Arabidopsis thaliana: one gene and its partner. The protein of the gene in region 1 interacts with the protein of each later gene in a pairwise test. Each region holds a gene or a part of one and is shown in the gene's direction. Other genes may lie near its edges.

Region 1 (5,632 bases):
AGAAAAATAAGAAAACAAGTACGTATACTTAACGCTAATAAATAGCAACCGACTTTTGAATTATTTGATTTAACTCTTTAAATTATTTCTTAGAAAGAGTTATGGAAGAATTAAAAGTTTTAAAAACATTTGATGCTAATCTAGTTTTTCTTTGGTGACTTTTTTTCAACCAATTTGAGATGTTTTAAATGGGGATCTGACAAGTAACTATTGTACCAGGAATACGCACCATTTCCTTTTTTTGTGCTTATAAATACATATTTATTTATTTTATTTATATAATAATTTGAAAACTTAGAAATTACACTAATTTATTAATTCTTTACTTACAAACAATTGGTTTTAGTTTTTAAAATTATCCAAGGCTGATTTCACCTAATTAAAATAACCATGACTAGATTTTAACCCGCGGACAACTTATTTTTTAAATTAGTATATATAAAAGTTTGCAAATTAAATCTATTTATTTTTATTTTATAGTTTACAATTGTTATTAAATAACGTCTTACCAAACCCGTCTCGCCAAATCCGCCCCGTAAAAAAAAACCGCGGTACACCGCTAATTTAAATATATAATTAAAAGAAATATTTTACGGGATTGCAATTGTATTTTGGTTTGTCAAACAAATATTTGTTTAAAATAGTTGCCAAAATCTAGTTCAAATTTTGGAGAAAAAAGATTTATTGGATAGATAAAGAATATATTTAGGTGGGTTTTGCTCATTTTAAGGGATTGCAATTATATTTTTGTTTGTCAAACATTTTTTGTTTTAAATAGTTGCTGAATATATTTGGAATATTTTTAGTTTATTAATCAATTTATTGCTGGAAAAAAATCAATAATTAATACTCAATGGCAGCCTAGTAAATAAGTCCCAACTCTAAGATTTATTTCACAAAATGGCTGCAAAAATGTATATATAGATGATTCATTATTTCATTTTATGCGGTAGGAGTAAAAACAACATTAACTAGCAAAAACTATAATACACACACAACAGTAACTACTCATCGAGTATGGCATTCATGGATACGAATCAAATCTCAAATCGTATAAGCCTGGCCATTATTTTATTTTACAATATTTGATAATGTGCTACCTAAATATCAAAATTTTAGAATATTCTGAAATAAAATGTCGAATTTTTGTGATAGCCTTAAATTACTACATGCTCACGTATGTAAATTTTCTATTCTTTCATAGTTAATTTTCTATTAAAATGTACAATTTCCAGTTTGATGGTATGAAGATCAACAAAGTACCATAAAAATGTATAATTTCTATTTCTTCCTAATTAATATTCTTTAAAGTGTAATTTTCCAGTTCATCCTTGTTAATTTTCTTAAATAATAAAATGTAAAACTTACAAATTTCACGGACTTTATTAACAGAAATGTAAATAATTGTAAATAAATGTAAACATACTGTGTCACAAGAAGACATGACAAAAAATAAAAACAGTAGAAATAAACTTTTTTCTGGGTGCGTGTGGTAAAACAAACATGGGGACTGATCCAATGAAGTTTATCGCAATTTCTGGAATTTCAGTCGGTGTATTAATCATCATCGCACTGATAGTGGCTTATGCCTGCTATCGTGCCCGAAAGGAAGGACCAGTCAGAGGCGACGGACGACTCACACCTATTGTAATGATGATATGATATATCACCTATTTTCGATCTTTTTCTAATAATTTATTTTATGATGCAACTTTTTAGATTACTATATACTATAGAAGAGCATATTGTAATTCTATTTTACCTATATAATAATAAATAATATTTCGGCGATTTTGTCATATGCTGGAGTGTTACATTAGATGATGACTAGTAGGGTTTTTTTTTTTATGTGAAAACAACAATCGTTGTGTCATATAACGCGAAGTGACAAACAAACAATTCGAAATATTAGCAATGTTACAAAATTCGAAATATACGCAATGTTATGGTGGTGTTGACCGAAGGGTAGTTTCGTAACTTTACATCATCGCGTGGTCGTATACGCGCCGATGAGATCACAGACGGCATTAATGGGCTCCGGAAGAAGAAACAAATGATTAATTTAAGGAATAAATTACCACTAAATTCGTTTGATTATTTCCGGAAAACAATTAACTAATAAAACTATAACTAACCTTTGTTTAATTTTTTGATTTCGCGTCTTCACTGTTGTGGATTTCTTCTGAATCTTCTGAGCTCGCTTCACCTACAAGAAGACAACAAGGATCATTTTCTCTAGGTTCGTAGATTCTCTTTCTTCTTCTTCTTCGTTTGGATCTGCTTAGTGAAGAAGATAATCTTCTGAAAAATTGTTTGTTTTTTTTCTGAAAATCTGAATACGTAATGATTTGAGCTGAATCTGAGTTAGATTCACATTTATATTCTGGATTTGTGCTATTTGATGATTTATTAGATCGATCATCTTGTTTTCTTCTTTCGCCTTTAAGTATGTTTGCTCATAGTGTTGCTCTTCCAGATTCCAGATCCTGAAGAAGGTGAAATCTTATCTGTGATCCAGTGGAAGATTGAATCAAGTAACAGATTCACTTAGTTCACTTGCGTATTGCATGCCCCTGAAGATAACATTTTGAATAATGTTGATATTGAATTATCACCTATAAGCTCTGGTTCTTGTTGCTTGTATTGGTTCTGGGTATCTACTAGTGAAGAAACCATGGCTTTTGGTTCTCCTAGGAATAATTCTATATTAGCTGCGGCTGGATTTCCTCGGAAAGTGTCTACAGTTGCAATTGCTATTGGTGGTTTGGCATCATTCTTTGTTTTCGGATTGTTGCTTCGTCTTTCGTATCCGAATAGTTCTTCAGTTGGTGGCATATTTTATGGGATAGGGAATCCTGAACAAGTTCATGTCCCTTTATCTTTGAGCAACCATACTGTCAATATCCTTCAGAAGAGTAGTGACATCAATGCGTTTGATAAAAATCTGACTTCTGATTCTAGCTCTGGCTTACCTGTTGTTGTTAGCAAAAGTATACCACCTCCAGATTTCAGTAGTGATAGGAAGTTGGAGACACCTTTGACACAAGAAAAAGAGGATTTGGTTTCTTCGGATATAACTGAAAAGACTGATGTTCAATCAGGTGAACGTGAAACCAATGTTTCCAAGGCTGAAGACACTCCAAGTGCATCATCTCCTCCAGATGATGTCTCTGAAACTGCTTCAGCAGAACCAGGTACTGTTGTTATCTTTTAAACGCTTATTTCCGTAGCTTTTGTCGTATTTGGAACATTTTGAGTTATGGTAGCTTAAATTTCAATAAACAAAGACTAAGCTAGTGTGGGAATGTTATAGAACATTTAGTTTTGCATTTCTATGGAAAGGCGTAAGTTTCTGAGAAGTTTTAAAGAAATTCAGCGGCTAAACTCTTAGCTATAGACCTACTGTAATTATTCTAGCCGAGGACTGAATATAGCAGATTAGAGTAAAAACTTGGTTAGGGAGCAGATAGTGAGTGCTGGGCTTGTAAGGTGGTCTCAGCATTTTGTTTTAGGGGTTAGAGTTTCTAGGCTTTGTGGGCATTTGGTTGAGAGTTCTACCTGTTTTGGTGAATTGGAATAAGAAGAGCAGTTTCATAGATCTGTTCTTGTCAGTTTCCCTTGCTTCTCATGATTCTAGCTGTTCGATGTTTTATATTTCTGTTATGAGTTTGTCGCTTACTCAAATCTTTGATTGCTTGTAGAGTGTGATTTGTATCAAGGTAGTTGGTTTTATGATCCTGGGGGACCTCTCTACACGAACAACTCTTGCCCTGTCCTGACGCAGATGCAGAATTGCCAGGGAAATGGAAGACCTGACAAGGGATATGAGAACTGGAGATGGAAACCGTCTCAGTGTGAGCTTCCTCGGTTTGATGCCAGAAAATTTCTTGAACTTATGAAAGGCAAGACACTGGCCTTTATAGGAGATTCAGTAGCTCGTAATCAGATGGAGTCCATGTTGTGCCTTCTTTGGCAGGCAAGTAATTCAATTTAATGGTGAAAACCGGTATAAGGGATCTATTGTGTTGCTTTATTCAGCTTCAGGAGATCGTATGTATTATATTAAAGTAGGTTTCTGTTTTCAGGTTGAAACACCAGTCAATCGTGGGAGCCGAAAGATGCAGAGATGGTATTTTAAGCAATCATCAGTAATGATTGCCCGTATTTGGTCATCTTGGCTTGTTCATCAGTTCAACGAAAAATTCGATTATGCTCCTGAAGGTGTCACAAAACTAAAGCTGGATCTTCCTGATGAGCGCATAATGGAAGCTATCCCGAAATTCGACGTGGTTGTCCTCTCATCAGGGCACTGGTTTGCAAAGCAGTCTGTCTACATATTGAAAGAAGAGATCGTGGGAGGCCAATTATGGTGGCCAGACAAATCAAAACCCATGAAAGTCAATAACGTGGATGCATTTGGAATATCAGTTGAAACAATCCTTAAGTCCATGGCTACACACCCGAACTACAGCGGTTTGACCATTGTGAGAACATTCTCACCTGATCATTACGAAGGTGGTGCTTGGAACACAGGTGGATCATGCACGGGGAAAGAAGAACCCATCCTTCCAGGGAAGCTAGTGAAAAACGGATTCACAGAGATAATGCATGAGAAGCAAGCGACAGGATATAACCAAGCCGTCGATAAAGTCGCGGAGAATTTGAAGCTAAAACTAAAGCTGATGGATATCACAGAGGCATTTGGATATCGCCATGATGGTCATCCTGGTCCATTCAGAAGTCCTGACCCTAACAAGATCACTAAACGGGGACCAGACGGACGGCCTCCACCTCAGGACTGCTTGCACTGGTGCATGCCAGGACCAGTCGATACATGGAACGAAATGGTCTTGGAGCTCATAAGGAGAGACAGGAAAAGCTCATCAACTTGACTTGGTTTGAAACTCAAAGGATGAGAGAGCATATTACACGACTTATACTATTAATCTGATTCTTGGTTACTGATAAACTCAAAGATAAACTCACTTGTAGATTTGTGCTAGGCACGGTGAGTTAGGATTAGAATTTGTTCCACTATACTTGTTGGTTCGTTTGTCCTGAGATTGAAATTTAAGATTTGGGAGTTATGAGTTCAAGTTTATTCATACTAGTCGAAATTTCATAAATTATATAAACTGGGGGGGGCGCATTTGCAAAATAGCTGAGTAATAATCGCCTATCTCACTGACTCACCCAAAGCCCGACCAAAAGCTTTTGATTCCTCAAGAGTGAAAATGGCGTCGTACACAGTCTCCTTTATCCCTTTGACGCTCTCTAATCCTCGGATCTTTGTTTCGAGACAGAATGGATCTCCCTCGTCTTCTTCTCGGATTCCTCTAACGTCTTCTCTGTTAGGTAAGAAGCTTCTGGCGACACAACCGTCGCATCGCTGCTTCGTCCCCAAGCTCCGGTGCTTGACCTCGGCCAGCACGGTCTTAAACGTCCCTATTGCGTTAGTTTTTTTATCTGACAGCTCTTTTACATCTTTATCATTTCTGGGTTTTTCCTTTCACCACGGATATTGAAGCTTAGGGTGTTAAGGTTGAATTTTTCAGGCAACCGGAGAATGGTTCTTCGGATAAGATCCCAAAGTGAGTCTCACTCCAAATTACGTATAGAATTTGTAATTGTA
Region 2 (4,816 bases), on another chromosome or scaffold:
GGAGCTTGGTAAGGAGGCGGGTTTGATGGAGGTGGTTGAGGATGACTAGGCGGAGGACAATACGGCTCTTGTTGAGAAGAAAACTGCGTAGGTAGCTGAGGTGGTAGTTGCGAGGAAGGTGGCTGGGAAGGAGCAGCAGTGGAAGATGGTGGCTGTGGGAAAGAAGTAAGAGGAAACTGCTGCATAGGGACTGGAGCGGGCGATTGAGCAGTGGGATCAACGTGTAAAGAGTGTGTTTTGGCATGCTGGTTGGATACCTGATGCTTTGAAAGCTGAGCTTCGAGAATCTCTTGTTTGTCCTTCAATAGTTGCACACCACTCTGCACCTGCACACCATTCGCATAAAGAAGGAACTGAAGTATCAACAGAAAGTACTATAAGCCTGGTTCAAGAAAAGACATGTTCATAAATGAGAAAATTTCTGTATAAAAAAGATCAATAGTTGCCAGGAAAAGCTATAAATTCTAGTTTCGAAAAGCAATCAGCAAAGTTACCTCTACAAGGATATTTTTAAGCTGTCTCATTTTCCCATCAGTGCTGCCGTGACTATTGTCAACAGAAACTTTGAGATCATCCACCAGGTTCTCGAGGTTGTGGGTTCTGGTCTCCAGCTGTGAAAGACGTGCACTAACACCTTCCATTACATGAAGCAAGGTATCGGTATGTTTCTTCATTGTCCTATCTATAATCTCGGACATAATAGTCGTGTTAAACACATTTTGACCCTTGTCAGGAACCAACTTGGAAGGTTCAATAGAATCGAGAGATCCAAAATTCTGGCCGAATAAAAAAAAACAAATCAATCAGAAATAGACAAGTCCTCTTATAGGCTTATGATGTAGAATCATGTACAAAAAAAAAAAAGAGAGGAAGATTCGAGAAGTAGTAGTAAGTACAGTGTTAGGCGAAGTAGTGGAAACGGGTTTATAATCAGAGGCGGACCAATTAACCCTAGTCGTGGATCCGGCGAGATCTAAAGCCGAGTGAGACAATCGTGCGGCGGTGGTGGGACGTATGGGATGGAAATCATAGCTAGGAACGATCACTTCTTTCTTAGAGTCCAATCCATTATCGCCGATCACCTGCTTCTTCTGGTGATCATCGCCGTCATGATTGTTCATCAGATCGATGAAATCAGTGGAAGGTAGAGATGAAGAAGAAGATAGATCCATTATCTGCTTATCCATAAACTGACAAGTATTCATCGATCCACCCGACAATTTCTCCGACTCCCGAATTTCTTCTTTTCTTTCTAAAACCCCTCAGATCGATTTTTATTTTTTTATTTTTATTTTATTTATGTCATAAAATTGACCAAGTTGCTCATGTCGACGTACCTTCTGATTGGCGTAGAAGGTTATGGACCCTAAATGGGCCGAAATGTATTTAGAATTCAGTTTCCATCCTCTCCGTTTAAAGCCCAAATTGTGATCAATGACCTGTACCAACACTGACATAATAAGTAAATGGTATAATCAATAATGTGATCAAAGCAATGGGACCAACCTTATTTGTAATAGTATGAAATAACACGGAAAGAAAAGGGTGGACTCAGGAGCATACAATACAACATCCACATGTTTCAACGCGGCCCCTTTCATATCATCCATACAATTCTCCCCTGACATTTTCAAATTCCACACTAAAAATCAATTGGTGTTGTGGTCAGTAATTTGTCATGTTCGTACGTAAACTTTATTTTAAATAATTATTTATAGCGTTACCAACTTTTTGATATTATTATAAACGAAGAAAACCACGGCCCCTTTGTAAAGAAATGAGTGACCAAGTATGTCAAATCATTTCCATAACATTATTTACAGAACACACATGGAATGGAGAACATGAGAAGAAACAATACCGGCAAATACCACTGGCTCTTATGAGGAAAGATAAATAAAATCGAGCCAATGTTATATTGAAAAAAATGTCGGCATCGGCATGTGAGTTATTTTTATCATACTCAAAAACATTCAGATAGTAGAACGAGAGAAAAGTCACATAATAAAGACAACTCTTCTAAATAATACTAATATCAAGTTTGCAGTATATCCAAAAACAAAACAAACTTTTTTCTTCTTACATGAAAATGAGGAGGTAGACTCATGTAACATAACTCTTACCAATAGAGGAAGAAGAAAAAGTTAGCAAGAGTCGGTTACTTGTGAGAAATTCCAACAAATGCCGGAGGATTTATGCACATCTTGGAGCATCTGATAAGAGGAAAAAATTATGTTCGCTCTCACATTTCTAAATCCAAATCCAAGACTTCCATCTCCATTGTTCCTTGCCAAGTCTACTCCTGAATCAGCGTTGAGCAGAAGAAGCAGAGCTTTTTCATCTTCTAACTCTTATCCTTGGAGACCGAACCTTAGATTTAATGGCTTCAAGCTCAAGTCAGCTACAGTTCCGGAGAATGTGGAAGGAGGAGATTTGGAATCTGGAAGTTTGGTTAAAGGGTTGAAGCTAGGAGGCATGTTTGGAGTTTGGTACCTTCTCAATATCTACTACAACATTTTCAACAAACAGGTTCCTTCTTTGCTTCATTTAATTAAACAGTCCATTTCAATGCAAGAAGCAGTACTCGAACCTATTATCAGTCTTCATACAAGTATGAAACTTGTTCATTCATCGATCCAGGTACTTAGGGTTTATCCATATCCAGCGACTGTAACAGCATTTCAATTAGGGTGTGGAACGTTGATGATTGCTATAATGTGGCTCCTTAAACTCCATCCACGCCCCAAATTTTCTCCTTCTCAGGTAAATCAAATATTGATTCCGTCAAACCCTAAAAACAGAGAGATTCATTCAATTGTAATCCTCTCCAGTTTACGGTGATCGTACAACTAGCAGTAGCTCACACGTTAGGGAACTTGTTAACAAATGTGAGCTTAGGAAGAGTAAATGTCTCTTTCACCCACACTATCAAAGCAATGGAGCCTTTCTTCACCGTCTTGCTTTCTGTTCTCTTGCTCGGTGAGGTAAGCAAAACAAAGATACGCTCTGTTTCAGACTTAATCTATAACCTTAGATTATACAAGAGAGTTATATTTTCAGACATAATCTTTGAAATTTTGATTAATGTCCAGTGGCCGAGTCTGTGGATTGTTTGTTCGTTGTTACCTATTGTCGCTGGAGTCTCTTTAGCATCTTTCACAGAAGCTTCTTTCAATTGGTATGAACAACAAGAACAAGAACAAAAAAAATAGTATTCTTGATAAACTTTTGATGAAGTTTTAATTGATTTGATTAATTCATGGTATTGGGATAAACCAGGATTGGTTTCTGCAGTGCAATGGCTTCTAATGTGACGAATCAATCACGCAATGTCCTCAGTAAAAAATTCATGGTTGGAAAGGTAAAAGAGTTTGAATATAAGTTATCCTTATGATCTCAAGAAAGAAACTAGTAATCGAAATCTATTAATGTTTGTATATTGAAACAGGACGCTTTGGACAACATCAACCTTTTCTCTATAATAACCATTATCTCCTTTATCTTACTGGTTCCTTTAGCAATCCTCATCGATGGGTTCAAGGTTACTCCTTCGCATTTACAAGTAGCAGTAAGTGGAAAAGCATAAACCGATATAGCTAGATGATCTAAAAGAGAAAGAACTAATGTGTGTTTGTATGTGGTTGCTTGACAGACAAGCCAGGGTTTGTCGGTAAAAGAGTTTTGCATCATGTCTCTACTTGCTGGTGTTTGCTTGCATAGCTACCAACAGGTTGGTCCGTCTAGTTCCTCCGTTTCAGAAAAACTGTACTGAATTTTGTAAAGTCGGTTAGTGTTAGGCTTCTAATCAACACATAAAAATTGGGGTTGTTGTTGTAGGTATCGTATATGATATTGGAGATGGTGTCTCCAGTAACACACTCTGTAGGGAACTGCGTGAAGCGTGTGGTGGTTATTACATCATCCATTCTTTTCTTCAAAACTCCAGTCTCACCTCTTAACTCTATAGGTAAACAACTACTAGTAGTATATATTAGTAAAGGATTTGTTACACTTGTTCATTTTATTGAAGCAATATATAATCACTTGTTAAATAAACAGGTACCGCGACTGCACTAGCTGGAGTATATTTGTACAGCAGAGCCAAACGAGTCCAAGTCAAACCAAATCCAAAAATGTCTTGAATTTTGTATATAGAAGCTCTTAGTTTATTATTTATGCGAAAAATGTTGATATTTTTGTTCATCCATGTCGTTTTTACATGACACTATTAACTTTTGTTAAATTCAACTAATCTCATTAAATAATTCTATTCTTTACATGGAAATTATATAATGGGCCTAGGAATAAAATTGGAGTGGCCCAAAAGGGCCCAAAAGAAGGAGGCGGCTCATTAAGGTGCAGATATTTTTGTTGCGACGATGGATGGTTTTATAAACCTAACTAACAGAGACGGTCTAAAGTTGGACATCCTTGCTTTTGGTCTAACTTTCTCTCTCTTGCTTCTACGCTTCTTCTTGTGGCGTAGATTGTTATAGAGAGGGAAACCAAAAAAGGGAATCTCAAAAGCTCGAGTTCACAGATTTGACCCGAGTCTTTAATCCAATCTGCTGGTTCGTTTTCCACATTCAAACTCGACTCTTGAATATCAAATCAGGTACGCGTTTATCTGTTGACAAAATTCCTCAATCCTGACTTAGATTCCTAGAATTTGGTATTTAAGCTCTCTGTTTCAATTTCTAGTTTCTCTCTAAGATTGCGTCGGTTTGGTCGTGTTTAATTCTGATTTCTGATCGAATCCTTTTATTACGTGTTAGTTTTTTTTTTTATTGTTCGATTTGAATCCAGATCTGTGACT

The links. Proteins that work in one complex are often made in the same cells at the same time.
Region 2: the proteins of TBL18 (region 1) and PPT2 interact in a protein complementation assay, tested with the Arabidopsis thaliana proteins (one large-scale study listed by BioGRID).

The regions. Positions count from the first base shown.
Region 1 is NC_003075.7:12,967,513-12,973,144, forward strand, and holds TBL18 (TRICHOME BIREFRINGENCE-LIKE 18), read left to right. Parts: upstream 1-2,046; 5' UTR 2,047-2,239; exon of another isoform or gene 2,240-2,476; 5' UTR 2,477-2,674; coding exon 2,675-3,194; intron 3,195-3,701; coding exon 3,702-3,976; intron 3,977-4,085; coding exon 4,086-4,892; 3' UTR 4,893-5,132; downstream 5,133-5,632. Other genes in the region: AT4G25370 (Double Clp-N motif protein), read left to right, coding at 5,235-5,452, 5,556-5,591. UniProt on the Arabidopsis thaliana protein: May act as a bridging protein that binds pectin and other cell wall polysaccharides. Probably involved in maintaining esterification of pectins. May be involved in the specific O-acetylation of cell wall polymers.
Region 2 is NC_003074.8:216,273-221,088, reverse strand, and holds PPT2 (phosphoenolpyruvate (pep)/phosphate translocator 2), read left to right. Parts: upstream 1-1,952; 5' UTR 1,953-2,232; coding exon 2,233-2,529; intron 2,530-2,640; coding exon 2,641-2,763; intron 2,764-2,831; coding exon 2,832-2,984; intron 2,985-3,092; coding exon 3,093-3,178; intron 3,179-3,279; coding exon 3,280-3,361; intron 3,362-3,448; coding exon 3,449-3,568; intron 3,569-3,652; coding exon 3,653-3,730; intron 3,731-3,837; coding exon 3,838-3,967; intron 3,968-4,059; coding exon 4,060-4,142; 3' UTR 4,143-4,284; downstream 4,285-4,816. Other genes in the region: AT3G01560 (proline-rich receptor-like kinase, putative (DUF1421)), read right to left, coding at 1-326, 495-776, 897-1,205. UniProt on the Arabidopsis thaliana protein: Phosphoenolpyruvate/phosphate translocator that transports phosphoenolpyruvate (PEP), 2-phosphoglycerate and 3-phosphoglycerate.